Stegostoma tigrinum: one gene and its partners. The protein of the gene in region 2 interacts with the protein of the main gene of each other region in a pairwise test. Links are inferred from orthologs where the notes say so. Each region holds a gene or a part of one and is shown on either strand. Other genes may lie near its edges. The genes, in order: POU domain, class 2, transcription factor 1-like; sp4; nrf1.

The links.
Region 1: the proteins of sp4 (region 2) and POU domain, class 2, transcription factor 1-like interact in binary tests that used the Homo sapiens proteins (3 or more experiments, as listed by UniProt). The two-hybrid records come from large-scale screens. The link is inferred for Stegostoma tigrinum from reciprocal best matches to the Homo sapiens genes SP4 and POU2F1.
Region 3: the proteins of sp4 (region 2) and nrf1 interact in binary tests that used the Homo sapiens proteins (3 or more experiments, as listed by UniProt). The two-hybrid records come from large-scale screens. The link is inferred for Stegostoma tigrinum from reciprocal best matches to the Homo sapiens genes SP4 and NRF1.

Annotation. Positions count from the first base shown.
Region 1 is NC_081365.1:33,891,146-33,902,378, forward strand, and holds the start of POU domain, class 2, transcription factor 1-like, read left to right. Parts: upstream 1-6,675; 5' UTR 6,676-7,041; coding exon 7,042-7,075; intron 7,076-11,233. UniProt on the Homo sapiens protein: Transcription factor that binds to the octamer motif (5'-ATTTGCAT-3') and activates the promoters of the genes for some small nuclear RNAs (snRNA) and of genes such as those for histone H2B and immunoglobulins.
Region 2 is NC_081355.1:74,777,477-74,788,249, forward strand, and holds the start of sp4 (transcription factor Sp4), read left to right. Parts: upstream 1-5,942; 5' UTR 5,943-6,067; coding exon 6,068-6,074; intron 6,075-6,123; exon of another isoform or gene 6,124-6,190; intron 6,191-6,389; coding exon 6,390-6,472; intron 6,473-6,839; coding exon 6,840-8,490; intron 8,491-10,773. UniProt on the Homo sapiens protein: Binds to GT and GC boxes promoters elements. Probable transcriptional activator.
Region 3 is NC_081378.1:16,033,967-16,044,831, reverse strand, and holds the start of nrf1 (nuclear respiratory factor 1), read right to left. Parts: upstream 4,862-10,865; 5' UTR 4,781-4,861; intron 1-4,780. UniProt on the Homo sapiens protein: Transcription factor that activates the expression of the EIF2S1 (EIF2-alpha) gene. Links the transcriptional modulation of key metabolic genes to cellular growth and development.

The DNA of each region.
Region 1 (11,233 bases), on a different chromosome or scaffold from region 2:
CCTTTTTCATTTGCAAGAATAGAATCTGCCAGAGGTGGACGTGAAACTCTGAAACTGGAGGGAAGGGACTCACCAGTCTTTCTTAAAAGTCTCCTGAGTTGTCTCAGGCTGGTGGAAGTTCAGGACCGTGTCTTGAGATGATGTCACCAGTTTACAGTATATAGATTATAAACTGGGGAAGGTAATAAATATTTGGAGCCAAGTTAATGGTACATTTGGAAAGAGAAACCATTACTGGAGATACACTGACTACAATCGAATGGGTAACAGGGAAACCAAACAATACTGTCTTACTCAGCTGTACAATCCAGGACAGACTTTGTGATAAGGTAATGTAGTTGTCTGTGTCAAAGTGGTACAGGAACAAAAACATGTTTCAATGTGCTTTGCAACCAATTGAGAACTTTTTAACTGTTGTCGCTGTGTTATAGGCATGAAACTTGACAAATATTTCTGGAGATAGTCCTTTGGGGCTGTTCTACCATTTACTAAGATCATGGCTGATCCTCAAACTCAACTCCAGTTTTTTCCGCAACACATCCCTCACACCCCACCCCCGCCACAACCGCCCCCAGAGGATCCCCCTCGTTCTCACATACCACCTCACCAACCTCCGGATACAACGCATCATCCTCCGACACTTCCGCCATCTACAATCCGACCCCACCACCCAAGGCATTTTTCCATCCCCACCCTTGTCTGCCTTCCGGAGAGACCACTCTCTCCGCGACTCCCTTGTCCGCTCCACACTCCCCTCCAACCCCACCACACCCAGCACCTTCCCCTGCAAGCGCAGGAAGTGCTACACTTGCCCCCACACCTCCTCCCTCACCCCTATCCCAGGCCCCAAGATGATTTTCCACATCAAGCAGATGTTCATCTGCACATCTGCCATGTGGTATATTGTATCCATTGTACCCGGTGTGGCTTCCTCTACATTGGGGAAACCAAGCGGAGGCTTGGGGACCACTTTGCAGAACACCTCCACTCGGTTCGCAACAAACGACTGCACCTCCCAGTCGCGAACCATTTTAACTCCCCCTCCCATTCCTCAGAACACATGTCCATTATGGGCCTCCTGCAGTGCCACAATGATGCCACCCGAAGGTTGCAAGAACAGCAACTCATATTCCGCTTGGGAACCCTGCAGCCCAATGGTATCAATATGGACTTCACCAGCTTCAAAATCTCCCCTTCCCCCAACGCATCCCAAAACCAGCCCAGTTCTTCCAGTCCCCCCACTACATCACAAAACCAGCCCAGCCTGTCTCTGCTTCCCTAACCTGTTCTTCTTCTGACCCATCCCTTCCTCCCACCTCAGGCCGCACCTCCATTTCCTACCTACCACCTCATCCTGCCTCCTTGACCTGTCCGTCTTCCCTGGACTGACCTATCCCCTCCCTACCTCCTCACCTATACTGTCCTCTCTACCTATCTTCTTTTCTCTCCATCTTCGGTCCGCCTCCCCTTCTCTCCCTATTTATTCCAGAACCCTCACCCCCATCCCCCTCTCTGATGATGGGTCTAGGCCCGGAACATCAGCTTTTGTGCTCCTGAGATGCTGCTTGGCCTGCTGTGTTCATCCAGCTCCACACTTTGTTATCCACTTTTTGACCCAGTTTTTCCACCTGATCCACACATCCCTTCATGTTCTTCGAGTTCAAAAATCTGTTAACCTCTGTCTTAATCAACCCTTTGGATTGTGTTCTTTTAAGTGAAGCAGTTTCTCGTCATCTCAGTTCAAAACAGCAATCTCCATATCCTGAGACACTGCTGCCCAAACAGGCAAAGAAACCTCTCAGCATCGAATACAAAACAAAGAATTTCAGACACGAGAAACCTGAAGCCAAAAACAGAAATTGTTAGAGAAAACTCAGCAGGTCTGGCTGCATTAGGGGCATTTAAACAGTCCTTGGATACGCATGTGGGTGATCCTGGGATCGTGTAGGGAGAGGGGCTTAGATTAGTTCACAGGTCGGCGCAACATCGAGGGCCAAAGGGCCGGTTCTGTGCTGTATTGTTCTCTGTTCTATCTGTGGAGAGAAAGCCGAGTTAACATTCTGAGCTCAATCACACTCTGTCTTACAATCTACTTTGTTAAACGTCTCAGAATATTTCAAATAGATAATGCCATATGCTCTAAATTAAAAAAAAGTCGATTCAATCTACCCTTATAGGACCAGACTCTCAACCCAGAGTTGTACCTCTGCTAAGCCAAGTATGTCCTTTCTTAGGTATAGAGATTAAACTGTATACTAGTCTTCCATTCCAGCCCTTTTTCAATTAAGGTTTCAATTCCAGAAAAACTTCAAGGCTTTTTTACATGTACGTAAGGAATAAGAGAATGACCAGGGAAAGGGTAGGGCCAATCAAGGATTGTAAAGGAAATTTGTGCACAGAGCCTAAAGAGATAGTAAAGGTCCTCAATGAATAATTTTCTGCAGTATTGACAACTGAGAAGGACTAGTTGTAGAAGGGGACAGTGTGAAACAGGCTGGTAGGCTAGAGGAAGTCGATGTTAGTAAGGAAAATGTATTAGGGATTTTGAGGAATGTGAAGTCAGATAAATCCCCCAGGCCTGATGGGATTTACCTAAGGATTCTATGAGAAGGGAGGGAAGAGATTGCAGGGCCTTTGGCAATGATCTTTTTGTCCTCACTGTCCACAGGTATAGGGCTGGAAGATTAGAGAGGCAAACGTCATTCCCTTGTTCAAAAAAGGGAATAGGGATAACACCAGAAATTACAAGCCAGTTAGTCTTACGTCAGTGGTGGGCAAATTATTGGAAAGGGCTCTAAGAGATGGGATTTATGATCACTTGGATAGGCATAGTTTGATTTGTGATAGTCAGCATGGATTTGTGAAGGGTAGATCATGCCTCGCAAATCTTATTGAATTTTTTGAAGAGGTGACCAAATACTTGGATGAAGGTACAGCAGTGGATGTGGTACACATGGATTTAAGTAAGGCATTTGATAAGGTTCCCCACGGTAGGCTCATGCAGAAAGTAAGGAGGCATAGGATAAGGGGAAATGTGGCAGATTGGATTCAGAATTGGCTGACCCTGAGAAGTCAAAGAGTGGCAGTGGACAGAAAATATTCAACATGGTGCTCAGTTACGAGTGGTGTACCACAAGGGTCTGTTCTGGGTTCTCTTCTATTTGTGATTTTTGGAAATGATTTGGATGTAAGAGTGGAAGGGTGGATTAGTAAGTTTGTGGACAATACAAGGTGGGCCGAGGGCTGTTCTCGGTTACAAAGGGACATCGATAGGATGCAGAGCTGGGCTGAGAAGTGACAGATGGAGTTTAACCCTGAAAAGTGTGAGGTGATTCGTTTTGGAAGGAAAATCTTCAAAACAGAATACAGTGTTAATGGAAAGATTCTTGTCAGTGTGGAGGAGTAGAGGGATCTTGGGATTCAAGTCCACACTTCCCCAAAAGCTGCCACCCAGGTAGACAGAGTTGTTAAGCAGGCCTATGGTGTGTTAGCTTTCATTAATAGAGGGATCGAGTTCAAGAGCCGTGAAATTATGCTCCAGCTATACAAAACCCTGGTTCGGCTACATCTGGAGTATTGCATCCAGTTCTCGTTGCCTCATTACAGGAAAGATGTGAGAGCGTTGGAAAAGGTGCAGCGGAAATTTACCAGGATGTTGCCTGGAATGGAGGGAAGGTCTTACAAGGAAAGGTTGAGAGAGCTCGGGCTTTTCTCTTTAGAATGATGAAGGATGAGAGGTGACTTGATAGAGGTGTACAAAATAATCACAGATATAGATAGAGAGTGGGCAGCCAGAGACTTTTTTCTAGGGTGGAGGTAGCTATTACGAGTGGGCATAGTTTTAAAGTGAGTGGAGGTAGACATAGGGGAGACGTCAGCGGTAGGTTCTTTACTCAGGGAGTGGAAGGGGCATGGAATGCATTGCCGGAGACAGTAATGGAGTCAGCCTCATTAGGGGCATTTAAGCAGCTATTAGAAAGGCATATGGATGATAGTATAAGGTAGGGGTCGAGGTTAGATAGACCTTAGGTTCGGGGTAAAAGTTTGGAACAACATCATGGGCCAAAGGGCCTGTACTGTTCTCTGTTCTAAGAACAACAGTATAATTTGCCTTCATAATTGCTTGCTAGATCTGAATGTTATATTTCAGCATGTCTTCTACAAGGGCAACTCAAAGTTCTGGACATCAGCATTTAATTGCTTCATACCACACTATTTTTATTCATTCAAGGAATGTGAGCATTGCTCAAGAGGCCAGCATTTGTTGTTTGTCCCTAATTGCTGTGCTCTCCCTGCTAGAGGGAGTAAGCTTCATATTTTCCTACATTCTGAGCCATCTGCTACCTCTTTCCCACTCGCTTATCCTATTGATATCCCTCTGCAGACTCTTTGCATCTTCTTCATTGGTTACTTTCCCACACAGCTTTGTCTTAACAATCTTGGATCATATGCCTGTTCCCTGCATTCAGGACATTAACATAGTTTGTAAGTAGCTGAGATACCAGCAGTGATTCTTGCAACACTCCGTGAAAAGAAAGCCTGCCAACCTGAAAATTATGAAAAAAACTGAAAGAACTGCAGATGCTGTGAATCAGGAATAAAAACAAAGTTGCTGGAAAACCTGAAAATTATGTTTATTTCTGCTTCTTGTTTCCTGTCCTTTAAACAACCATCTATCCATGTTCATAAATTACATTCAACTTCAACTGCCCTTGACTGACAAGTTAGTATTTCACATTATCAAATGTTCTTTTTTGAAAATCACAATTCTCTTTTTGTATTGTAGGGAAATTCCAGCTGCAAGTTTGCATATGGACAACACTTAGAAAATGTCAGATAATGTATTTGAATGAAACTTTGGGTGTTGCATCAATATTAGGATCTTCTCCAAATTCCTGAAAGAGCATGCAAAGGCTCAGTTTAAGAAAGGATCAACTCTGGTTCAGTTGGTAGTACTCTTGCCCCTTAGCCAGGAAACTGTGGGTTCAACACCCACTCACTTTGGAGCTGAACACAAAAATCAAAAAAGTTGACACTCCAGTATGGGACTGATGAGGTATTGCACAATTGAAGATACTGTCAACCAAATGAAACATTAAACTGAGGCCCTATCTGTGCTCACATGGACATAAGAGCTCTCTTAATATTATTTTTCAAAGAAAAGCAGGGAATTTTGTTTCCAATGACCCAATCAATGCATTAACTAATAAAAAAATGCATTAAAAAATCTGGTCATCATCACAATGCTGTTTATGGGACCCTGTCAGTGGACAAAAATTCACTGCTGCATTTCATAAATCACAACAGCTGGTAAATTTCAGAAAAGTACTTAACTGGCTGTAAAACACTTTGAAATGTTTGGTGGTCATGAAAAGCACTATATAAATGCAAGTCTTGGCAATGTAGCAATCTCCCAGCATCAAATAAAAGTATCAGCCAAGGTTGTGTGCAAAACCTTGGAGTGGGACTTAAATACATGATCATCTTTTTCAGATGTGACAATGCCCATCATTAATATATGCTGACACTTTAAAGGTCAAGATGATCCAGAAGACATCATATATTCAGTTAATGTAGTCACTTCAGTTAGGGTTGAGATTGTGTTTCTGGTTTCCAGAGGATTGAAATAATCACACCTTGATTCAAAATGATGGAGCTTCATTAAATGTATTTTTTTAAAAACAGTTCTCCACGCTGCTGCATTGTTATATGGCTACTAACTGCAGTGCATGTGACATTCTGGATATTCATTTTCATAACAATTAATACTTCACGCTATGAATAATATTTTACAAATATTTGTAACCAGGCTCCAACACATTAAAAGAACCTAAGATTTTAGCTAGTTGTCGTTCAGATTTAATGTAGTGGGGATGAAGGTACGTTTGTAAAAGGCACGGGGAAAATGTAAACTTAGCTACTAATACTACGGAGACATTTCCAAGGTAACAGGTGAGTTGCTCAAACTCACCGAAAGTATAAACTGCATGAATTATTCTAAATCTCATTAAAGCTTAATTTACATATATAAACTGCCAAAGTGACGGCCACCAGCAACAGCATAAAAATTAAGATTACAGGAGGCATTCAGCTTTACATCTCTCGACCCTATTTTCATTTGGGCGGTCAAGTCCCAAATGCGCAGTTTGCATTCTCCCATTGTCCTAAAATAACAAGCAGTTGGGAGCCTTTTTCAGCGTTTAGATTCACTGGAGGTGTGATTTCATTTTCTCTTTTGACAGGTGTTAACAGTTACAAAAAAAAACAGGATCCCTTGCCCTCACATGGGCAATATTGTTTTTGCTTAAAAGGTAGAAATTCTTTTTAAAAAAAGGACCGCAAACGCATCAGATGTGCTAAAATCGGCGATCCCAGAACCATTTACGTATATGTTAAAAAAACGCCCCTCTACCACTCGTAATTTTCCGTCCATTTCCGTCTCCGTACGCGCCAAGAAGGAAAGCGATTACCGACCATTTTAATAAACAGCGGAATACAATACCAGAGGAGGAATGAATACAGTTGAAGGGGCATCCATGGGGCACAGTTCAACAGCGGAAATGGTGGGATAGGGTGGGGTAGGAGGAGGGGAAGGGGGCAGAAAGGGATACATTCGGTAATCTTCGGAACACAAGACAAGAGAAAAAGAAAATTAGGAGACCGCTTTTCACGCTGGGATCGGTCTTAAAAATCGACACCACACATATACAAACACAGAAACACACGCACAAATCTATCCCACCATTATAACTGGGGAGATATACCGTTAAAAAAAATCCGGTCGTTAATTTCCGTTCATTTCCGCCGAAGAGGACCGAAGCGGCGGGGGCGACGACAAAGACGCGCCTTTCGAAAAATAAATAAATAAATAAAGTTTTCAATGCGATCGGACATGATGTTTTTTTTAAAGAAACGCGAGTGCGAGTGTTGTTGTTTGTTAGTGAGTTGTAAATAGTTTGCGGATTGCTGATGATATTTTGATTGAAGCGCGGGGCCCCCCAGCACGCGGGGAATTCCGGGTAAAGTGAATTGATATTCAAAATGGCGGATGGAGCGTCCAAAGATGAAAAGCCAGGTAATGGCTCTAATTTTACATATTCATATTTCCATTTAGCATAATTTATTTTGCCTTATTACTGTATTTGATTGCGGAGCCAGCAAAAAAGAAAACTTTAATATACTACTTTCTCGTATAAGCACAGTCGGATCAGTCGTTTCGACGAAGGGCATTCCACCGAGAAAATTTTAAAAAAATATTGAAAAAGGAAGGGAAGAAAAAAATAGAACAAATAAAGAGAAAGCGAAAGGCAGGGGGGAGGATAATTTTGACTAAAAATTATGCAAAGTAAGGCGCGGCGTTTTACATTTTCTACTGTTTTTATCGATGCACAAACGTTCTATGCTAATTTGGGATCAAATATTAGCCCCCGGTTTATTCAAGCGGGATAACCTAATAGAAAATATTACGGAGGGTGCGGCAAATGCGGAACGGCTGAGAAAAGTGAACATATTTAAAAAATCCTTATTTCGTTTGAACGGGATCAAAATCTGAATGTAATAAAGGCTGAAGAGGGTTTGTTTTTAAATCGCAGGAACGCCCCTCATGTTTAGGTTAATAGATTTAATAGCTTGACGTGACGGTGGTGTGTAATTTTTTTTATTATTGAGTTGGATGATCATCTTTACTTTCCCCAGTCATGAGCTGCAGTGAGCTTAGATGACGGAGAATGCAAGCAGGAATGCTTATTAAAATCTGCCCCGAGGTTTTAATGAGCAATCTAGGCCTTGACTGATTTGTTTCGCTTTATTTTTTTTTAATCGCTCTTGGCATTAGATTACTTAACGTAACATCCGCATTTACTGAAATAGAATGGCAACTAATTGCAAAGGCGTATTCATAATTCTATTTTGATATACTCCTGGATGTTTATATTTATAAACCAACATATCACACTGAATACAGTAGATAGTTTGGTTGCTAGTTTATTTAGTAAAATAATTTACTTAAAATCATTTCACTGGCGTTAATGGTTATTGTGGACTTCTGATCGTAAGAATGAAATTGGTCAACAACACCACTTACAAGTGTACATTTTTTTTATCTTGAGACAATTCCCAAAAATACATTGTCCAGTGTTCTAACCAGTGTTTTATGATTTTTAAATTATGAAACACCTATAGTTGCAGTAAAGTTATTAATCAGTGGTGTTTTGTGCAACTTTGTATTTATTGCATTTAACTCCACAGGTGATATTAATCAAGCATTAATTTGGATTCACTGCTGCAACTGCTCTGTGACTTGGTTAGCAAAAAGTATATTGCCATGGGAAAAAAGATTTTCCCAGGTAAATTTTTATGCAGCTGAATGTCTTTTATAAACTATATTCTGAAATTTAATTTTTATTTTGAGAAAACTTATTCTGGGTTTGATTGTAAATTAATACTCCTGATAAGTCTGTAAAGCTAAAAGCAGTATGTCAAATGTTCTTTGTAGCTACATTATTAGAGTTGACATTTTCATAGTTTACAGGAAATTATTTTCTTTCACAAACTTCTTTTAAAATCTGTGTTGTCTAGACTCAGATTATACTCATGGAATTCAGAAGAATGAGGGGAGATCTTATAGAAACATATAAGACTGTGAAAAGAACAGATAAAGTGGAAGCAGGGAGATTGTTTCTGTTAACAGGTGAAACTAGGACTACAGGGCATCTCCTCAAAATAAAGAGAAGCAGGTGTAGGACTGAGGTCAGGAGAACTTTTTCACTCAAAGGGTTGTGAATCTGTGGAATTCCCTGTCCAGTGAAGTGGTTGAAGCTACCTCGCTCAATATTTTTAAGGCAAGGCTGGATAAATTTTTGAACAGTAAAGGAATTAAGGGTTATGGTGAGTGGGCAGATAAATGGAGCTGAGTCTCAGAAAGATCAGCCATGATCTTATTAAATGGCAGGGCAGGCTTGAGGGGCCAGATGGCTTACTGCTACTCCTAGTTCTTATGTTCTTTCTGTGGGTATTGCTGGGCTCTGAGTTGTTTTGAGAGTCTGTTGGAAAATATATGATTCAACTATGTTGAAGTTTTTTTTCTGTCTTTGGCTAAATCCACTATTAACATGTAGTTGAGATAACAAGGTATAAGAGCTGGATGAACATAGCAGGCCAAGCAGCATCAATGGAACAGGAAGGCTTATGTTTCAGGCCTAGACCCTTTTCTGAAGAAGGGTCTAGGCCCGAAACATCAGCATTCCTGCTCCTCTGCTGCTTGGCCTGCTGTGTTCATCCAGCTCTGCACCATGTTATTTCAGATTCTCCAGCATCTGCAGTTTCTACTGTCTCATTAACGTGTAGCTGTCGTCTTTTTAATGGAACTCTGGTTCAAAGGCCAAAATCAAGAGCAAGACCAGAATAAAATTACTAAGGTCAGTTGGAGAATGAAGCAAACCTAAAATTTACAAATTGAGGATTATGCTTACCGTCTGTAATTATCTCCTGTTATTTTTTTACCACATTATCCTGAGGAAGTGGTGTATTTATCATTTAGTTCTGTACCTGCTGAATTGCTTGCTACTCATTTTAAAAGTTTTGTGTAACCCTTGTAGTTATAGTAGGATTCCTTCACTTACGACTGGTTCCACAAATTATCACTTTTATTTAATTATGTTTCATATATAATATTATTTCAACCTTTGGGTGGCTGATCTATTACTTTAACCACTACACTGAATATGTCTGAGTTTGGGCCTTAACAGTTGTATAATCGTGGGAATGAACATTCCAGTGATACGGTATTGTGTGTCAAATAATAGATGGGTTAGTGAGTTTCATGGAGAGGTTTATGGTACGGTGGGTAGCATTTCTGTGTCTGAGCTCGTGGATCCAGCTTTGAATCTCCTTCTAGACCATAAGGAGTTGCTCTTAACCAGTTTTTATACACTGGTAAAATCCAAGACTGTGTGCTGAGGCACACACTAACGCTTGAGGTAATCACTGCAGAGGTATAGAGATTATTGGCTAAGGCTTTCCAGCCACAATGTATCAAGGTGCCGGAAACTGTAGAAATGTTGGGCTGTATGCCTTACAAAAACCTATATTTTAAAAGAAGGATATTGATAATGTTTTGAGGCACATTAGAATGTAATGGTATATAAAGGAAAATTTTGTCTCTTTTGTACTTCCTGTAATTTCTAATTTGCTGTTTTCACCCTCTGACTGTATACCTGACATGGAGTGCAATTTGTAAATTTGAACATTGATTACAAATTGTGTTGAGTAGAGCATGCAGAATGGAATAAGTATGAATATTATTGCAGAAATTGTAAGATTCAAATTGAAATTTTTCTGTAATCTGTCTTACAAATGCATTCAAATTTTTGTTTTCTTGGAAATAAAAATCTAATCCAGAACTTGATGTCTATGAAAGGTCTATATAAAATGTGGCCAAACCGGTTAAATGGTAGTTCTGACCGCTCTGTGTGTATGTCACTGTCTCTCTCTCTCTCTCTCTCTCTCTCTCTCTCTCTCTCTCTCTCTCTCTCTCTCTCTCTCTCTCGCGTGTACACACACACACACACACACACACACACACACACACACACACCACTTCCACTGTATCTTTGTCAATGGCAGACGCTAAGGACAGAGACAGCAAGAGAACTGCAGATGCCGGAGTCCGACACAACACGGTGTGGAGCTTGACCACACACCAGGCAGCATCAGAGGAGCAGGAAAGTTAATGTTTTGGGTTAGGACCCTTCTTCAGAAATTGGTGGTGATGAAAGAACTTGAGTCTCTACCATCTTCTGCCTTTTAGCTTCAGGCTACAGGGCTACAGCATGTGTATAAAAGTGCATAATGCCACTGTAGATTGGACTCTGAGTGAAATATTACCCAGTAGTGAGATTTGATTTTTCTGAGGTACAATGAATGTGTACAACTGTGTTTGGAGGTTTTAGAACGAATGCAGGAAAGTTTGGAAGAGCAATGAATATTGATAAAATGGAGAGGAAACAAAGTTGCTACAAGGAGAGATGAAGGCAGTGGGATTTTACTTTGCCCCGCTTAGCTTGATTATCGGAATTGATAAAGTTATATGACTGGAAGGAGAGAGTCTATCCAACATAGTTCATTTAAATTTTACTCTTTGACATATGCATGACTTGAATCGGTAACTTAATTTCATTCTCTGCAACTTGTACTCATTGAGTTATGGTGCCGTTTTTCACAAGTGTAAGGATGA
Region 2 (10,773 bases):
CGCAAACCATTTCCACTCCCCCTCCCATTCTTTAGATGACATGTCCATCATGGGCCTCCTGCAGTGCCACAATGATGCCACCCGAAGGTTGCAGGAACAGCAACTCATATTCCGCTTGGGAACCCTGCAGCCCAATGGTATCAATGTGGACTTCACCAGCTTCAAAATCTCCCCTTCCCCCACCGCATCCCAAAACCAGCCCAGTTCGTCCCCTCCCCCCACTGCACCACACAACCAGCCCAGCTCTTACTCCCCACCCACTGCATCCCAAAACCAGTCCAATCTGTCTCTGCCTCCCTAACCTGTTCTTCCTCTCACCCATCCCTTCCTCCCACTCCAAGCTGCACCTCCATCTCCTACCTACTAACCTCATCCCACCTCCTTGACCTGTCCGTCTTCCCTGGACTGACCTATCCCCTCCCTACCTCCCCACCTATACTCTCCTCTCCACCTATCTTCTTTTCTCTCCATCTTCGGTCCGCCTCCCCCTCTCTCCCTATTTATTCCAGAATCCTCACTCCATCCCCCTCTCTGATGAAGGGTCTAGGCCCGAAACATCAGCTTTTGTGCTCCTGAGATGCTGCTGGGCCTGCTGTGTTCATCCAGCCTCACATTTCATTATCTTGGCCCATTGAGTGTGCACTGATCCAATGAAGAGCATCCCACTCAAACCCACATTATCTCTATAACCAGTTTCCATGGTTAATCCACCTAGCCTGCACATGCCAGGACACTAAGGGACAACTTAGCATGGCCCATTCACCTAAACTGCATATCTTTGGACTGTGGGAGGAAAGGGAAACACGTGGCAGAAGTGTATACACACGTGGGGAAAACATGCAAACTCTATACAGACAGTCATCTCAGTCTGGAATTGAACCCAAGTCCCTGACACTGTAATACAGCAGTGCTAACCTCTTGTGCCACCCCGATGTACTTATACATTCGCGTGTAGAGGAACTGTGATAGAAACAGAAAATTTTGATTGTTTAGGAAACAGTAATCTGATGTACAATCACTGCAAGTCAAAATTTTATTTATAAATTCACTTTATTAGACAAGATTGTTTATTGTTCCTTAAATATTCAGCAAAATTCTGGTTGGCAACATCTAATAGTGATGCACTACAGCGATCAATGATGGGGCAATTTATACAAATGACTCAAGTGAAGGACTGATTATTATGATTGCTAAATTTGTCAATGACAAAGTTAGATAGGAAAGGAAGCTGTGAAGAGGAATAATGGAGACTACCACGGGAAAGTAGACAGGATAGGTGAGTGATTTGACACAGATCTGGAAAATAGAGAATAATGTGGGAAAATGTGAAATTGCCCATTTTGGGGAGAATTAAAAACAAGCATACCACCAAAATGGAGAAAGATTGCAGAGTTGAGATGCAGAGAGAACCAGAGTCGTAGGGCATACTTTGTCAAAGGTTAGCATGCAAGTGCAGCAAATGATTAAGAAAGCTAATAGGATTCTTTTGTTTATTCAGAACAGATTGAATACAAAAGATCACAGTCATCCTTCAGGTCATGTGATACTACATCTGGAGTACTGTGTATGATATTGGTCTCCTTATTTAAGACATGATGCAAATGCATTGGAAACAATTATTGATACTTGGGAGTGGGTGGGTTATCTTATAACAAATGGTGTGACAAGCTAGGTTTATGTCAGCTGTTTAGACGGGTGAGAGGTGACTTGATGGAAATATACATGATCCCAGGGGGTCTTGACAGGATGCATGCAGGATGTTTCTTTGTGGTAGAATCTAGAACTGGGGTCATTGTATCAACATAAAAGCGTTGTCCATTTAAAACTGCATTAAGGAGAACTTCTTTATTCAAACTGTGATTGAGAGACTTTAAAATTCTTTTCCCAATAAGGTGGTGGCAGCAGAGTCCTTGAATATTTTTAAAGGCAGAGATGGTTTCTTGTTAAGTGAGGGAGTGAAAGGTTAATGGGGGAAAACGCAGGAATGTGAAATTGAGGCCACCCCAGATCAACCATGATTTTTTAAAATGGTAGAGCAGGCTTGAAGGGCAAAGTTTGTTTGAATCATGCAACATTAGCCACATGCTTAACATCCTGCCATATAAATTCTATTACAGAGCTAAACATTTAGCAAATTGCATCATTCCATTTTTGTCAATTATCTTTTCCAAACAACCTGTTCCGAGATAACACCCACACAGATAACTCTTCCAGCATACATACACATATCTGTGGCAAAAAAAAAGGTCTCAGAGGTCCAAATAATCAGGGGCAACTCAGCTGTTGATTTGCACATTCAAGTTTGTGTGCACATGCTTTTTGAGATAAAGAAACAGCCAAGGACAGTGGTTCAGGAGTCACATAGAAGGGAATCCTGGATGCAGGATCAAAGCATCGGTGTCTTTACTGCTAGATCACCTGGCTGCCAAACAATAGGATTTTTTTTGACGATGTTGGTACAGATCAATTCAAAAATTGTGCTTAGTGCCATTCAAAGAAATGATAAGTGAGTTGGCAATGCACACAAACACAACTATGCAGTGGGGCACATATTCCCTCAATAATCTGCTAGTTTTTGAAAATACTCTTTACTGGTCCAATTCCTACATTTGTCACATATTCTACCCTGATCTATTCATGGGCAGTTACTTAGAGTCATACAGCAATCCGTGTCAAACATAATCCCAAACTAGTCCTACCTGCTTCCTCCTAGCCCATATCCCTCCAAACCTTGCCTATTCATGTACTTATCCAAATGTCTTTTAAAATTGTAACTGTACCTACATCCACCACTTCCTCAGGAAATTCATTCCACATGAACTACCCATCGCCATACCCATGACTTGGCACAGATTACTGGTATAGTATTGGAATACTATTCTGAAATAAATCCATTTCCAATTCCATTCTGAAAGATGCAAATTGTAATAACTGACAGTTTGAAGAATGTTAACAACTCTGGCCCAAAGTTTCATCCCAACTGCAAATCAAGTCCAGCCCAACTCTTGCGATTCCAGAAGTTATTTTCAATAAGAACTTTAGTAATGTGACAACTAATGACGTAATATTAGAAATAATTGAATTCATCGTGTTGCCTATCAGTTTCAGCGTGCAATTTTTTTTTTTTACAGCAAATATTCTAAAACCCAACTGTAGAATTCTAAAAGTAAATGCTGCAGTTATTATCAGTAGTCGACATGCCCTACTGGGGAGGTGCTGTAAAATTACGTATGAATAAACATAATATTCATTGCCGATAGAGGTTGAGTTAAATGTGGAACCTACCTAATTAAAGAAAGCACATTATCATCCAGATAGCCAAAAATACATCTAGATGATTTTTGATACTTATTGCAGTATACAATTTTCTATGCTTTAATCCCTTATAACATGAATTAAAATCAGGACTGTGCAGAAATAAGTATAATAAAACAACATGGTCTAAAACTTAGGCAAAGTACAAGATCATCACAGCCACTGGCAATGAAAAGTGTTTGTATTTTCACACAAATTTATTTGCAAAAGCTCCAACCTTCAAAATGCCCTCCACATCATTGGCTGGCTGTTCAGTATTCAATTAAATGGTATTTTCAAATGTATCCGGGTTTTAGACTTGCAATCATTAAAGATTGGATCAAAACAGCATCCCAGCGGCCCAAACTGATTTCCAGGAGTGTAAACATTTATATTTCCTTCAACCTCAGTCAAAACTGCACCTTCACCTTTCGACCTGAGCATAGTACAAAGTTGCATTCCCCTGACATGTATTAATGCCGTTGTCCCATAGACAGACAGACAGACAGACACACACACACACACACACACACACACACACACACACACACAGAATAGGAAAACACGAGGAAAACATCATTCTCACACATTGTATTGTAAAACCATATTCAGCCAATTTCCCCACACATTATTTAGAAACTTCATTCGTTCATCCTTCTCCTTGCATCATAAAATTGGCTCCAGCACCCCACATATGGATTACAAAAATGACTCCGCATCACAAAGGCATCAAATGAATGCCTGTGCTGGCTCTTTGGCAGAGTTCTCCAACTAATTCTTCCATCTCAGCCTTACCCCATTGTCTGGCATAATTTCATACATTTCACCCTTCAAATATTCATATAACACTTTATGAATGTCACTTTTGAATCTATTCCAAAAACCCTTTCAGTGAATGGATTTCAAATCACAGTAGCTTGCAGTGTAATAAATTATTTCCTCATGTTGCCTTTGGTTCATGTGCCTCAATATTAAATCACCTTAAATCTGTGCCCTCTTGATACCAGGCATTTTGCTACTGGAAACTTTTGTTGCTCTACTTGAACTGTTCATTGTTTTGAATACCTCTACTAAATCATACTGTAAAATTTCAATGTGAAGGAAATCAACTTTAGTTTCTCAAAAGAATGGATTCTTCAATCCCAGTACAATTCTAGAAAATCTGACCCACCTGGTCAGCAAGATCTCAATATCCTTCCCAAAATATGGTGACTAAAATTAAATAAAACACCTTATTTGAAAGGTAAACACTGTCTACAAAGATTTACTTAGTTTAACTTCCTTACTTTAGTACCTATCTCTATTAGCAACACCATGGATTCAAAATGCTTTTCTGAAAAAAAAATTTCAACTATCACTTACAAAGGTACGTGCACCACCAAAGACTTTCTGGTCTTAGCTTTGCTAGTAATGATCACATCCAATGAAGGAGTTAATCAAACTTTAAAACTGTATCTTTAAATACCCCTCTTCCTACCAAAATGTCTAATTTCAAATTACTCTGCAGTGCATTCAATCTGCCTTGTGTTTGAAATAAAGTATTTTCATAGTCTATTACTACCACCTTCTTATCTATTTATTATATCCAGAGCTTCCATCTTCAAACCTAAAAATTATGCCCCATAGATCCAGGTACATCTGATCAACATTGTTCCTAACATCAACACCTGGAGAACAACACATTGATCTACAGTAAAGATCTACATCACCACCAGAGATTTCTGTTCTTTAGCCAATTTAGTACTCACACTACTAATATACCTGTAATCATACAAATTTATATTTTAGAAAGAGGGTTATTGTAATGTTTTTGGAAGTGCGCGCGCGCGCGCACACACACACACACTCATTTAAATAACTCAACCAAGTTAACCAAAGACTATTATCCTTTAGCAAATGAATGTTGACTTTTACTTAGTAGCACATACTTTTCCAATCACTCAATGTTATCCAAAAATATTTTCATGGCTGAACTGTAATTAATGGGTTTATCACACAGATATATTTGCAGCCCTTAGGTATCACCAACACAAAATATAACATCCAGAGCCTCTGCAATTTCATTTGCCTACTTTACAAAACTGCAACCACTCTGCACCTGCAATACAAAATTTGCATCCACTTAGTATCTGCAACACAAAACCTCCTGTACCTGCATTACAAAACAACATGTGGCTTCCAATGATCTAAACCAGGATTTAAATGACTCCTAAAAACTTGAGATTGCCATCACAAGCCTGAATCGGAACAAATACAACCCTGACGCTTTAAGTACAGCGCACGAAAAACGCCCACCCACCAAAAGCACACAAAGTGCCGCCTTTGTTCGCTTCCGCCCAGCCTACCCTGATGTAGGGGGAGAGGGAAGGGCAGAACTAGGGCGGGGAACGCGTCAATACATATTGCACCCATCGCACATGCGTGACAGCCTAACCATAGGCGCTAAGCCCTCGGTCCCAGCCACCCAGCGAGTTTATCAGGAGAGAAACTACAACCCCCGGCATGCTCTGCGCACCGCCCCCGCCATTCCAGTCCCACGGCCACAGATCCAATCAGCTTGTGGATCGAGCTCGGAACGTTAAGTCTCCGGGTTCGTTGGTGCTGTCGCCGGGTTCGAGGTTCCGCCTCCAAGCTCCATTTCCGTCAATCAAGAGGAACCTGATTATTCCGTCCTACGCAAACAGCCATTCGTGGAAAGAAAGGGCCAGCCCTGCCTTGTTCTGCCTACATTTTGTATTGGCCTTATTTTTTTTCCCTTCTTAAGCAATGCAGAATGAGTGGTACGTAACCCTCCCTCTATCCCTCCCTCCTTAAAAAAACAAGAGGGAAAAGGTCAATTTACCTTGGTGACAAGCTTTCTCCTAATTGATCAGCCTGACACCAAGAATCTACAGTAGTGAGTTGTCTTGAGACAACCCTCTTTTGGGTGTTACTTTGTATCCACTGGGTCGGGTTTCAAACCACGTTTCTGTTTTTTCCTCCCCTCCCTTCCTGGGGAATTGATGGGTTGATTGAGACAACTATGTTAAAGTAACGTGCAGTTCACAAAAAATGAACTTATTTTATTACGATTATTTGTATTTTTTTGTTCACAGATCAAAAGGAGGAAAGTATGGCCACCCTAACTGAAGGAGGGAAACCTGGTGAATATTTGCAAATCAAAACATCAGGCTCACAGGTAATGGAAACTCCATTTTCAAATGCAGACTTCTAATATATGCTTGTAATAATTTATTTTTACGTGTTCAGATGAAAATGCTTTCTGTGTTACAACTACTGCTGCTCCTGAACTAATGTTGCTAACCACTTGTCTCTGTTGCATTTGTACGTGAAGCCATTTTTCTCCCGCAGATCTCAGCAGCTACTTCCTGATGAAGCAAACTAGAAATGTACGCTTTTTAAATTTGTTATAACGATCGAAATGCAACTGTTTTGTCGTTAATTGCTCTGTACTTCCTGAGTGAAGCCCCTTTTTTGTGCTAATGTAAATTCACACCCACTCTTTCCTTTCTAAACCCGCCCACTGTGTGTGTCTATGTGGGTAGGACACCCAGCCCTCTCCTCTCGCCCTCCTCGCAGCCACTTGCAGCAAGATCGGATCCCCGGGGCCGGCGGAAGGGGCGGCCGTCGCCGCCTCCACCGCGCTCCAGGGCGGTCAGCTCGTTATCGACCAGGGCTCGGGAGCGGTCCAGCAGCAGCAGCAGCAACAACAACTCGAATTGGTCACCGCTCAGCTGTCGGGAAACGGCTGGCAGATCATCGCCGCCGGGCCCTCAACGACGAAAGAAGGCGCGATTCAGCAGCAAGGGGCGTCGGCGGCCACGACCGGCGGCGAAGGAGAAGGTGGCGACGGCGGCGGAGCCGGCAACAGCAGCAGCAACAACAACGACGGAGGCGGCAATAACGGTACCAGCGGACAGGATGTCCCGGCCGGATCGCCCAACCGCATCCGGCCTATCGTGTCGGCGGCCGGTCAGTACAACGTGGTGCCGGTGCAGAGCCTCCCGAACACGGCCATGGTGGTGAGCGCGGGCTCCGGGGCGGTGGTGGCGGCCTCCTCCTCCTCGTCGTCGTCGTCTACCTCGTCTTCCGGCCTCCAGTACCAGGTGATCCCGGCGGCGGGGGCCGAGGGGCAGCAGCAGCAGTCGATCCAGATCGTGTCGGCGGGGAGCCTGCTGGCCCCGCCGAGCCGGAGTTCCCCTCAGACCGGGCCCCTGGCTAACACCGTGCCCATCCAGATCCGAGCGGCCGGTACCGGCAGCGGCGGCGGTGGCCTGTCCATCCCTTTGCAGTTACAGGGTGTTCACATTTCCGGAGCTCAGGCTCAGATGGTCGCCACGCTGCCCATTAATCTGGGAGGCGGCGTGACTTTGGCCGTGCCCATCAACAACATGGCGGCGGCCGGAGGAGGATCCATTCAGTTCGTCCAACCTTCCGGGGATGGCGGCCTCTCCAACGGCGGAGCTCAGGCCTTGTCCACGCCCATCTCCGGCGGAGCCTCGGCGGTGAACAACACGCCCGAATCTCCACCTCCCCAGGCTCCACCGGCCTCTTCTACAGCCAGCACCGCCTCCCCGCTGCCCGGAGGCGCCGCCGCCTCCTTGCTCCAGTCCTCGGACGCCGTCTTCAGCGAGCCGGTGGGACCCGAAGAGGAGCCGCAGGCTGCCGCCGAAGGGGAGGGGGACGCCGCTCAGCCTAACGGCCTGCAGAACCTTCCAGAAGCGGGTCAGCAGCTCCAACTGCCGTCCCCCCTCCAACAGCAGCAGATCGTCCAGGCGCAGATCCCGCAGCAACAGGCCGTCGCCACCATCCAAGGCCAGGCCCTGCAGGCTGTGCAGCCCCAGACCCTTCAGCTGTCCACGCTGCAGAATCCCACTCAGGTCATCATTAGGGCACCGAGCATCACACCGTCTGGGCAGATAAACTGGCAAACCATACAGCTGCAGAACATCCAGAACCTTTCAAATGTACAGATCCAGAACGCTCAACAACTGACTGTGACCCCGGTGTCTTCAAGTAACTCTGGTGAAACAGCGATTGCCCAAATTACCCCTGTAACTGTTACTGGTGGTACCATTAACCTAAGTGCTGCGCAGCTTGCTTCTGTTCCTAACCTTCAAACAGTCAACATTGGCAGCTTGAGTTCAGGAGGACTTCAGGTGCAAGGAATACCAGTGGCCATCGCCAATCTAACAGGTATGACCATACTTGTCAAATATTTTACATTTAAGATTACAGATATGTTTAAATTACTTAAGGTTGGCATGGTTTATATCAAGTATTTTTTAAAAACCAAAATATCTACAAATTAATTGTCAGATATGTTTGCACGTTGTATAAACCAAACTTGGAAGCTTTTGGCTTACAGAAAGAGGAGTGTGGTGGCTGTTGGTAGTTTTGTATGGTGTAGGGGAATTGTGATTTCAAAAAGTGACCTAGTTTGGACAGCTACAATTGTATGTGCAGTTCACATTGAAATATAGGATTAGTTTATTCCTGAAATACTAAAGTTGAATTTCTGTGAAGTCTTTGCTCAGAATTTACATTTTGCAGAAAATCTTTTCTATAATAGATGTTTGCAGAGAGTGTGTGTCAACCTTCGGGGAAGTAAGTTCCAAATAACCTGATCTCTCTTGTTTCTTGCGTAGTGTTATTTTGTTCATTTCAGATTTATACTTTTTAGGCATTTAATTTCACTCTACCTGGTTAAAAAGGAATTGCCTTATCAAAATATGCAGCAAAACCTTTTTTATGGGAACTGGGCTTGCTATACATTTCCTTCTGTTTATATTAAGCCACTGATATGATGCTCTACAATACAACCTATACAAAATTATTTTCCTGACACTTGCACCTTTTTAGAGTTGAATCTTTCTACATCAGTAATATTTTTATTCCTGTGAGCATGGCTGTTTGGATTGTACTTCAGAGATAGCTAGAACTGCAGATGCTGGAGCTGGAGGAAAACAGCAGACCAGGCAGCATCAGAGGAGCAGGAAAGTTGACAGTTTGGGTCAGGACTGAAGAAACGTCCTGACCCGAAATGTCAACTTTTCTGCTGCCTGGCCTGCTGTGTTGCTGCGGCTCTACACTGCATTGTACTTGTTTCTTGGGTAATGGTTTACCAAAATATTGTCAGTGCTAAGCCACAATATTTAGGATCAAGCTATGAATCTAGTGGTGGTTTAAGATTCAGCATCCTGATAATTTGTACCTTTTTGTATAATCTTTTGATAGTAAGAGATATATTACCAAAAATGGCATTTTTAAAGTCTTCTGAGGATCAAAATCTCCAACTAAAAATAATTTTTAAAGGAAGCTTTATAATGGCTTAAGAAAATACTATTTTTAAACTCAAAAACAAAAACGATGCTGGAAAAGCTCAGCAGATCTGGTAGCATCTGTGAAGGAGAGAACAGTTAATGATTTGGGTCAGGTGACCCTTCCATTATTATTTTAATGTTCATCCTTTTTGGTTTTTAAAAGACAAAACTTTTTCAACTTTATCAAAAGGTTTTTGCTTTTAGACAGTAACTGGTTTGATTACTTGAACAGTATCAACTTAAAGGATGTTTGAACAAAAACTCTCATTTTCTGATAGCTTTGTATTTTATGTGTAAGAGGGATTGAACTTTCAACAAACGTTGGATCATGGGTTTGAGAAATCCTGACTTGACTATCACTTTTTTCTTGTCCTTGATCTTGTAGATATTTTTAATGAACCTGTTCAGACATACGATGACACACCTCTGGTGCAGATGGAACTTGAACCCAGGCTTTTTGGCCCAGTGGTAGACACAGCAGCACTGCTCCACAAGAGCCCCCAACCTGCAGCTTGTCTTATGTTTTGAGTTAGCCTAAAATCTTAAGTGGTGTTGTTTTGCTGACATAAATCAAACTTTAATACTATTTCTTCCTGACTCTTCTGCAAATCATTAAGGAGCAAGTCTGTAAGGCAGTTTTCAACTCAATGATTTTTGATAAACAATTCACGACAATTAAATTAATTATTATCCACTTGCTGGATGGGCTACACTGTAAGATTAAATGTTCTAAATCCACATTCTTTAATAGTTAGATTTATTATTCAGTTTTCAAATAGTATATAAATCAGGCTAGAGATTATGTATTAAGTTTGAGTTGATGCTTAGAAGTGTGAGGCAGGTTGGTTCAAATTTAATGTGTGAAAAATGTTTCATATTTCATTAATATGCAGATGTCTTAGAAGATGAATTAAGCTTTTTAAAACTTAAATCACTCAAACAAAATTGTCATACTATTTAACCTTTTGGATGAATGTAGGTTGTAGTATTTCTTCGTTCACTCTGGATTCCACTGAAAGCATTAGGGCTTGGAATAAAGTGAATGGCTTTGTTTCAATGAGCCTTGAACTGACAAAGTTAGTTGACTCTCAAGCCATATGTTTTTAAACAGTTTTATTTATAGCTGTATTCTTTTTGGAGATATTTTCAGCTTTGC
Region 3 (10,865 bases), on a different chromosome or scaffold from region 2:
CAGTCTTGAATATATTAACTGACCTAGCAGTAAAGAATTCCAGATTCAATGCCCTGAGATTAAATTCCTCATGTTTTAATTGTGCAATCCTTTATGCCGAGATCACAACCTCTGGTCCCCCACAAGTGGAAGCAACCTTTCTGTATGTACCCACTCGTATCGCCCAATAATTTGTTTATTTAAATAAGGCTGCCTCTCATTCTTCCACATTCCCATGAATTGAATTCCAAATGCCCAAACGATTCAACCTCTTCTCATAAAAGACAATCCTGTCACAGCTGATATCAGCCTAGTGAATTTTTCTCTGGACTGCCTCCATTGGCAGTATATCTTTTATTAAATGAGGGGCCCGAAAACTCTTTACTGTATTCCAGCTGTGGTGTGAATAGTATCATGTACAGTTTTAGTGAACCCCGCACACATTCCATTTGCCTTCTCTGTTGAACTCGAATGCATTTTTGTGATCCATGCACAAGGGCACCCAAATCCCTCTGTTCTACAGCCGTGAACAATCTTTCCCCTTTAAATAATATTTAGCTCCCCCATTCTTCTACCAAAGTATATATAGTACATAGAACATAGAAAAGTACAGCACAGTGCAGGCCCTTCGGCCCACAATGTTGTGCCGTGGAATAATCCTAATCCAAACATAAAATAATCTAACCTACATTCCCCTCAATTCACTGCTGTCCATGTGCATGTCCAGCAGTCGCTTAAATGTCACTAATGACTGCTTCCACGACTACCACTGGTTAACTATTCCATGCGCTCACAACTCTGTAGGTGAAGAACCTCCCTCTGACGTCTCCTTTATACCTTCCTCCTAACACCTTAAAACTATGACCCCTCGTGGCAGTCAATCCTGCCCTGTGGAAAAGTCTCTGGCCATCGACTCTATCCATGCCTCTCATTACCCTGTACACCTCGATCAGGTAATCTCTCTTCCTCCTCCTCTCCAGAGAGAAAAGTCCGAGCTCAGTCAACCTCTCTTCGTAAGACAAGCCCTCCAGTCCAGGCAGCATCCTGGTAAACCTCCTTTGCACCCTCTCCTAAACCTCCACATCTTTCCTATAATAGGGCGACCAGAACTGGACACAATATTCCAAGTGTGGTCTCACCAGGGTTTTGTAGAGCTGCAGCATAACCTCGCGGCTCTTAAACTCGATCCCCCTGTTAATGAAAGCCAAAACACCATATGCTTTCTTAACAACCTTATCCACCTGGGTGGCAACTTTGAGAGAGCTATGCACTTGAAAACCAAGACCCCGCTGTTCCTCCACAGTGCCGAGAATCCTGCCTTTAATCCTATATTCAGCATTTAAGTTCGACCTTCCAAAATGCATTACTTCGCATTTATCCAGGTTGAACTCCATCTGCCATTTCTCAGCCCAGCTCTGCATTGTCAATGTCTCACTGAAGCCTGCAATAGCCCTCGATACTATCAAAGGCACCTCCAAACTTTGTGTCATCAGCAAACATACTAACCCACCCCTCAACCTCCTCATCCAAGTCATTTATAAAAACTACAAACAGCAGAGGCCCAAGAACAGAGCCCCGCGGGACACCAGTCAGCACTGACCTCCAGGCAGAATACTTACCATCTACAACCACTCTCTGCCTCCTGTCAGCCAACCAATTCTGAATCCAATATAACTTCACATTTTCCCACATTTTAGTCCATCTGCCAAGTTTTTGCACACTTGCTTTACCTGTCTATATCCTTTTGCAGAATCTCTATGGCACTACAATTGTTTACCACGTACCACTTCAAGGCTAGAATTGCCCAGATTTTGCTGCTAGCAAGCAGACTACTTTATTACAAAGAGTTGTAAATAAATGATCTTTGGACAATCAATAAACATTTTCATTTCTGATTTTATGATGGAAGGGTGTCTGCAGACAATTGTTTACTGTTAAGAAATGAAAGTTGTCCCCTACACCAGAAGAACTCCCTGTACTATTTCTCCTATGGCGTCACAGCATATTCTATATCCAATTGAACACATACGACTTGAGTTTAATATCTTGTCCAAAATGTAGCAATTTTGATATTCTCTCAGTACTATATTGAAGGTAGTCTAAATTAGTTCTTCATCGCAAAACTACGATCTTTCTGAAACAAGTACTAATAAACACCAAGCAAGTGTAACACAGATCCCTTAAGCAAATCATGAGTTAACTCTTGGTAATCTAAAAATCATCTTTTTTTTTAAAAAAGTCATACAGTCACTCCTCCATCTATGCCTATGTAATCTTCAATACCACGGATCTTTTAACTTAACACTTTTCCAATGAAATTCCTAGAAAATCCCATCAGTTAATTAGAGTTTCATGCTGACTATCCTTTATTAGCCTTTAACATTAACAAAGTGTGTTTTTTTTGTGTGCTTTAGCAGCTTTCCCACTGTTGTCTGGAGGTTAACTCCATAATTTTACTTCACAAGTGTAATTTGTAATCAGTACTTCCAAAGAAAGTTAGCAGATTATAATTAACACCTCTGCTATTTCATCATTAATTTCACTCAAGTTTTCTACCATGTAGACCATCTGAGCCTGAAGCTTTATCAGCTAAGTGAATCAACGTTTTCAATGTAGTTTATACTAGCAGATTCTCCACACCTTCCCCGGTACTCTTGTAGCCAAGGCCTACGTTGTTTTATAAATACAGGTTGAGTGTCTACAATGCTTTATTTAAAAAAAACCCCTTGCTTTAGATACTCGGGGCCAGGGGGCGAGGGGGGGGGAGTGGAACCCTCCAGTTAGTTTTTAATCAAGTAATGCAGATAGACTATCCAGTCTTTTTAAAAAAAAGATTTTCGATACTTTCAGTATCTTTTAATTATATTTTTATTCAGCATTATTCCAGTAAGACTGCCAGAAATCATTCTAATTGCACAACTGAGGGCATTCTGGCTAAGTTTGCAGATGATACAAAGATCGGTAGAGAGACATGTAGTATTGAGGATATGGGGAGGTTGCAGAAGGATTTGGACAGGTTAGGAGAAAGGGCAAAGAAGTGGCAGATGGAGTACAACGTGGGAAAGTGTGAGGTCATGCACTTTGGTAAGAAGAATACAAGCACAGACAATTTTCTAAATGTTGAGAAAATTCAGAAGTCTGAAGTGCAAAGAGACTTGGGAATTCTAATCCAGGATTCTGTCAAGGTAAACTTGCAGATGGAGTCAGTAGTTAGGAAAGCAAATGCAACTTTGGCATTTATTTTGAGAAGATTTGAATATAAAAGAGGGATGTACTTCTGAGGCTCTGTAAGGTTCTGGTCAGGCCATATTTGGAGTGTTGTGCGCAGTGTTGGGCCCCATACCTCAGGAAAGATGTTCAGACCTTGGACCAGGTTCAGAGAAGGTTCACAAGAATGATCCCAGGAATGAAAAGCTCAACATATGAGGAACATTGGAGTACTCTGGGATCATACTCAATGGAATTTAGAAAGATGAGGGGGGAGATCTAATTGAAATTTACAGAATACTGAATAGCCTGGACAGTGGATATTAAGAAGATGTTTCCATTGGTAGGAAAGACTGGGACAGGATGGCACAGCCTTAGAGTCAAGGGAAAACCTTTTGGAATGTAGATGAGGAGAAACTTCTTCAGCCAGAGAGTGGTGAATCTATGGAATTCACTGCTACAGTAGGCTGCACAGACCAGGTCATTGAGTATATTTAAGACAGAGACAGATAGGTTCTTGATTGTCAAGGGGATCAAGATTAGGGAGAAAGCAGGAGAATGGGGTTGAGAAACTTATCATCCATGACTGAGTGGCAGGACAGACTTGATGGGCAGCTCCTAGTTTTTCTGGTCTTACAACCCAACAATTTAAGAATTTCCAAACCTCTACAAAAGGGGAAGGATAGTACAAGCAAGAAGAAGAATCTGAGTTAGGGCATCCTTAAACCATTTAAAAAAGATTGAACAAAAAACAACTGACTGAAGAGAAGCATTTTCTTTTAAGAACTGAAATATTGTTTGAAGTATTCAAGATTTGTTTGAAATATAGAAATTAACCTAAACACAATGATTTCAATAAAAACTCATTTCAAGCAAATCACAATTAGGAACAAGGAAGTAAAATATTTTAAAATGTACAAATGATAACAAATCTTACAGCTACAACACCAATAAATAAACAAAACTCGCATCAAACTGCAATCTTTGCAAGGTCAGGGCTCATTTGTTTGAAGTTATAAAATGAAACATTCTCAACTGGATAATCCTTCCATTTTGTAGAACTGCACATCAATCTACAGGATTGTTAATGATACATTAGACTCTAATGATTACTAAAAACCTTTTGGGTTAGAGCAGGTTGCTTGAACTCTCGATCGGGGACGCATTTTGAGTAACAATATTTTAAGAGTTGCAGGAATAAACCCCAAGGTGTTAATTCTTTTTTTCAAAATAAAACATTTACAACGGCCCCACTGCGGACAGGGCCCAGGCTTTAGGATTAAGCATCTGCTCCTCTCTCCAGCCAGATCAATGCTCAAGAGTTTATGCATCCCCCTCCCACTCGCACGCACTCCTTTCTTCCTCCTCCCTTAGTCCCGCCAAAATCCAGCCCTGCCAACAGGCAGGCCGACTGCGGCCTAGGCCCTCTTAGTTTGAGATTTAAGCTCTTCCCCGCCGTCTAAAAGCGACTCTCAGGACTCTTTCTCGCTCTTTTATGAAGTAAAACACCCGTTTCAGCGACCGGGCAGCTTTTGGGGTCCGATTTGCGACTGCGCCAGGGCTGAAATTTGGAGAATGCGCGGTGAGCACTAACCTCAGAGCGGCTGCGCCGATGGCCTGGAACTCGGTCTCTCTGTGCCTGCGCTGCCAGCTCCAACCTGGCCCCTCCCAACCCCCACCCTGCTCGCCCCAAGCAACGCACGCACCGACCAGTGACGTAAACGGTCACCGCACCGCCCATGTACGTCACACGTGACGACGCGAAAGCTTGACGTCCAGCCACCTGCCACGGTTGCTGCGCATGCTCGGTACCATGGAATTGGAGGGCTTGCAAACCAAAGTCATCCGAATCCCCAAAGTTTTTGGGGAGCTTTAGTGGCAAAGTAGTAATGCCCTTAACAGTTCTGAAGAAGGGTCACTGGACCAGAAACGTTAACTGATTTCTCTGTACAGTTGCTGCCAGGCCTGCTAAGCTTTTCCAGCATTTTTTTTGTTTCTGTTAGTGACTACCAGCATCCGCAGTTCTTTCGCTTTTTATTTGGTAATGTCCTTACCTCTGAGCCAGGAGACCCAAGTTTAAATCCTACCTAGTCAAGAGGTGTGTAATAACATCCTTGAACAAGAGCATTTACTGCTGCCTTTCCGAAAATGTGACAAGCTCAGGGTGCTTCTAACGTTAGAATCACCAGATTTGAAGGGGCCTTTGTGGTAATGGTCCTACTTCTGAGCCTGGAGACCCAGGTTTAAGTCCCACCTGGACCAGAGGTATCTAATAGCATCCCTGAATATGGTGATATAGCAAATATATATTTTAAAAGACATTTACAGGTGCTTTATTTATTTCAGCAAGTGTGACAAGCTTGTGGTGGTTGTAACGTGAGATTCACTAAAGTTAAAGGGGTCCCTGTGGCATGGCAGTATTCCTACCTCTGAACCAGGAGGTCCAGGTTCACATTCCACTTGTTCCAGACATGTGCCTGAGCAGATTTATTAAAACCATCTAAAAGTCAGTCAGGGAACCTTGCTCCAAATAGAGGCTCTTGTGCAGTGGTAGTATACTTATGTCTTGGCTAGGAAGCCTGGGTTCAAATCCCATCTCTTCCAAGGTGTGTCAGAATGTGTCTGTGTCATAACATAGCATGTTAGTACAGGTTGAGTAAAAATATCTAGAATCACATAATTGAAGGCTGTTGTGGTGCAGTTTTAGTGTCCCTACTGCTGGGCCAACAGCTTTGGATTCAAGTTCTACCTAGCTGACGTTGTCTGAACAAGTTGATTAAAAATATTGCAAATCATAAAATTGTATGGTGCAGAAGAAGCACATTCAGTATGACTTGCCTGCACTAGCTCTCGAATGAGTCTTGTGACTTAGTGTCATTCTCCCTCCTTTTCCCCATAAGTGTCCAGTGCCCTCTTGGAACATGTGAATGAGACAAAGTGGCCTGACGTGTCTTTTCTGCTACAAAAGGGAGGTCAAGTAAGACCAGTACATTCATTTTCAAGTTTTACAATTTTTCCTTATTAGTTCGTTCCTGTGGTTACGTACTCAGATAAACCTGCCCCACCAGATTTCCATGCGTGTGCTCCAGAGCCTAACTACACGCCGTGTGAAAAGACTTTTGTCGCAAACTTTCTTCTGCAAACTACCTTGTACCTGTGCCCTCTTATTCTTAATCCTTTTATGAGAAACAACAGCTGCTGTCTGTTTGAAACTAAAACAGAAATAGCTCAGTTGGTCTGGTAGCATCTGAGGAGAGAATGTAGAGTCAGTGTTTCGGGTCCAGTGACCCTTCTTCAGAACTATTAGGAACTGCAGATACTGGAGAATCTGAGATAACAAGGTGTAGAGTTGGATGAACACAGCAGGCTGAGCAGCATCAGATGAGCAGGAAGCTGACGTTCCAGGCCTAGGCCCAAAATGTAAGCCTTCCTGCTCCTCTGATGCTGCTCTGCCTGCTGTGTTCATCCAGCTCTACACCTTGTTATCTCTCTTCTTCAGAACTGATTTGTTTCATAACAGACCACTTGTCTAAACCAAGTTAAGTTAGTGTAATTGCAGAAAATGCTGGAAACACTCAGCATTCATGGACAGAATTAATGTTTCAGCTCAATGGCAATTAGAGCTGAGGAAAGATACAACTATAATAAATATAATTGAGGAAGGGGAAGAAGAACAATGCGGTAAGATCTATTACATGATTACTTATTACATCTCTCTTTTTTTGTCTGTTCTGGTATAGGGTACCCTAAACATTAAATCTGTTTCTCTCTCTCCACAGATGCTGTCAGATCTGCTGATTATTTCCATCACTCTGTCACTGTTTAAGATTTCCAGCAACTACACTATTTTGCTTTTGTTCCAAGTCCATGCAGACAGACCCAATTCAGACATGTAAAGAAATTCTTACACACTGCTGTGGATTCTAATATAGCAGCGTATTATTTCAGAAATATGCAAAGTGTCGAAGGGTAAACATCATTCCATCAAAGAACCATTTTTCATGGAATCCAACAAAGATATTTGTGAGCTGTGGACCCTAGTGCAGATCCTGTGGCAACACCATCTATTTGGTAGTACATGGTGTCATTGAAACTGAATTCAACTGCACAGCTGCTGAGTTCATAAGTTCAATTAATACTGATTCACACACTGGTGGTGAATCTACATTGTCATGAAATAGTGCTGCAGCATAGATATTTATAGCATTCTTGAATGATATTTCAATGAGTTGGCTAGCATTGTCAGATGAGTACATGGACACGACATTGGGAGGACTTTAAACTAACTTAGCAGGTGTGTGGGAATGAAGAGAGAATATTAGAGAGGAATACCAGAGTATACAAAATGCTAAGACAATAGTCAGCTCGTAGGTGAAGGGAAAAAAGTAATGAAGTCTAAATCAGTTAGTGTGCATGCACGGATTGTAATAAATAAGGTTGGAGACACATCATTTTTCAATCTTTTCATTCACCGGTTTAGGCTTCATCCATTCAGTGTCTCTGAAGGTGTTTCTTCTTTCCTTTTCAAGATGGGAATTTGCAGAGAGAGTAGCCAGCTGCTCAGGACTTTCCTTTATTTCTCCATCAGAATGGAGAGAAAGTAGGATGATTTCTCCGTCACAGACTGGCTGTTTCTTCTGTACTACCTCAACACAAAACTGTAGCCACTCGCCTAGGAACCAGTCAAGATATTGTCACTGTGCAGAGTACTCTGGAAAACACACAGCTGATCCTGGTTGAAAAGCCAAAACAAAATCTTGTCACTGATCACAACTGCTCCTGCACACACAATCGTGGAACTAAGGTTTGTAGCAGGTCATGATCATAATCATAGAATCCCTACAGTGTGGAAACAGCCCTTCAGTCCATCAAGTCCACACTGACGCTCAGACCCACCTGCGTATAACCCACCTAATCTACACATCCCTGAACACTAGGAAATTTAGCTTGGCCATCCACCTAGCCTGCACATCTTTGGACTGTGGGAGGAAACTGGAGCACCCAGAGGAAACCCAAGCAGGCACGGGGAGAATGTGCAAACTTCACACAGACACCCACCCAATTGAATCTGGGTTCCTAGCACTCCGAGGCAGCAGTGAGCAGCTAACCATTGAGCCACTGTGCTACCTCAAAAAAAAGGAACATTTCACGAATTTGCACAAGGATGACACGTGTCAGGTAGAAAATACAATTGAGGGCCAAGAAGAATACAGAACGGTCAGAGGGTGAGAAAGAATGTGAGAGAAGCAGAAAGGAAAATTTGATAAAAGACTGACAGCCAACATAAAGTGGAATCCCGAAATTTTCACGGACACATCAATAATTTGAATAAAAGGTAAAGAGGACTAGGGACAATTAAGGACAAAAAAGGAGGTTATACAAAGGTAAGAGACATGTCTAAGGTGTTAAATGAATACTTTGCTTCCATCTTTAACAAAGAGTTTGATACTACCTGGGTTAACATGACAGAGGAAGAAGCTCTGTAACTGGAACAATTCTAAATTAATGAAGAAGTATTGGATAAGCTATTGATACTTAAAGTCGGAAGGCACCAGGAAAGAAAGAGATGCATTTAAGGATATTGAAGGAAGTGAGAGTGGAAATTGCAGAGTCATTGGCAATAATCTGTCTGTGTTTCCTAATTTCAGAAGAGATGGCAGAGGACTGGACAATTACAAACATTATGTTGTTCAAAAACAGTTGTAAGGATAAAGCCAGCAATCACAGATCAGTCAGTTTAATTTCAATCATGGAAAACAGAAGTCATGAAGAAAATGTGGGTTGTTTAGGAACAGGCAGTATGGTTTTCTGAAGGAGAACCCTTGTTTGACTGACATACTGGAGTTTTCTGTACAGGTAACCGAGAGGTCAGTGAGGGTACCACTGTTGATGTGGTGTATATGAACTTCCAAAAAGTGTTTGATACAATGATACAACATGACGCAATAGACCTGTGAGAAAAGTTATAGCTCATGAAATAAAAAGGACAGTAGCAATGTGATGACAAAACTGGTTGAGTACTAGGAAATAGGGAATAATGATCAATGGATATTTTTAACGCTGGGGGAAGAATTGTCGTGGAGTTCTCCAGGGGTCAATATTTGGAGTTAATAAAGTGTGAAGCTGGATGAACACAGCAGGCCAAGCAGCATCTCAGGAGCACAAAAGCTGACGTTTCGGGCCCAGACCCTTCATCAGAGAGGGGGATGGAGTGAGGGTTCTGGAATAAATAGGGAGAGAGGGGGAGGCGGACCGAAGGTGGAGAGAAAAGAAGATAGGTGGAGAGGAGAGTATAGGTGGAGAGGTAGGGAGGGGAGGGGTCAGTCCAGGGAAGACGGACAGGTCAAGGAGGTGGGATGAGGTTAGTAGGTAGGAAATGGAGGTGCGGCTTGGGGTGGGAGGAAGAGATGGGTGAGAGGAAGAACAGGTCAGGGAGGCAGAGACAGGCTGGGCTGGTTTTGGGATGCAGTGGGGGGGGGGAGGGGAAGAGCTGGGCTGGTTGTGTGGTGCAGTGGGGGGAGGGGATGAACTAGGCTGGTTTTCGGATGCAGTGGGGGAAGGGGAGATTTTGAAGCTGGTGAAGCCCACATTGATACCATTGGGCTGCAGGTTCCCAAGCGGAATATGAGTTGCTGTTCGTGCAACCTTCAGGTGGCATCATTGTGGCACTGCAGGAGGCCCATGATGGACATGTCATCTAAAGAATTGGAGGGGGAGTTGAAATGGTTCGCGACTGGGAGGTGCAGTTGTATGTTGCAAACTGAGCGGACGTGTTCTGCAAAGCGGTCCCCAAGCCTCCGCTTGGTTTCCCCAGTGTAGAGGAAGCCACACCGGGTACAATGGATACAGTATACCACATTGGTAGATGTGCAGGTGAACCTCTGCTTAATATGGAAAGTCATCTTGGGGCCTGGGATAGGGGTGAGGGAGGAGGTGTGGGGGCAAGTGTAGCACTTCCTGTGGTTGCAGTGGAAGGTGCCAGGTGTGGTGGGGTTGGAGGGCAGTGTGGAGCGAACAAGGGAGTCACGGAGAGAGTGGTCTCTCCGGAAAGCAGACAAGGGTGGGGATGGAAAAATGTCTTGGGTGGTGGGGTTGGATTGTAGATGGCGGAAGTGTCGGAGGATGATGCGTTGTATCTGGAGGTTGGTGGGGTGGTGTGTGAGAACGAGGAGGATCCTCTTTGGGTGGTTGTGGCGGGGGCGGGGTGTGAGGGATGTGTTGCGGGAAATGCGGGAGACGCGGTCAAGGTCGTTCTCGACCACTGTGGGGGGAAAGTTGCGGTCCTTGAAGAACTTGGACATCTGGGATGTGCGGGAGTGGAATGCCTCATCGTGGGAGCAGATGTGGCGGAGGCGGAGGAATTGGGAATAGGGGATGGAATTTTTGCAGGAGGGTAGGTGGGAGGAGGTGTATTCTAGGTAGCTGTGGGAGTCGGTGGGCTTGAAATGGACATTAGTTACAAGCTGGTTGCCTCAAATTGAGACTGAGAGGTCCAGGAAGGTGAGGGATATGCTGGAGATGGCCCAGGTGAACTGAAGGTTGGAGTGGAAGGTGTTGGTGAAGTGGATGAACTGTCGAGTTTTGTTTTTCCTCATATTTAATATTCTAGATCTTGGTGTGCAGGGGATAATCTTGAGATTGCATATGATACAAAACTTGGAAGCATTATGAAATGTGAG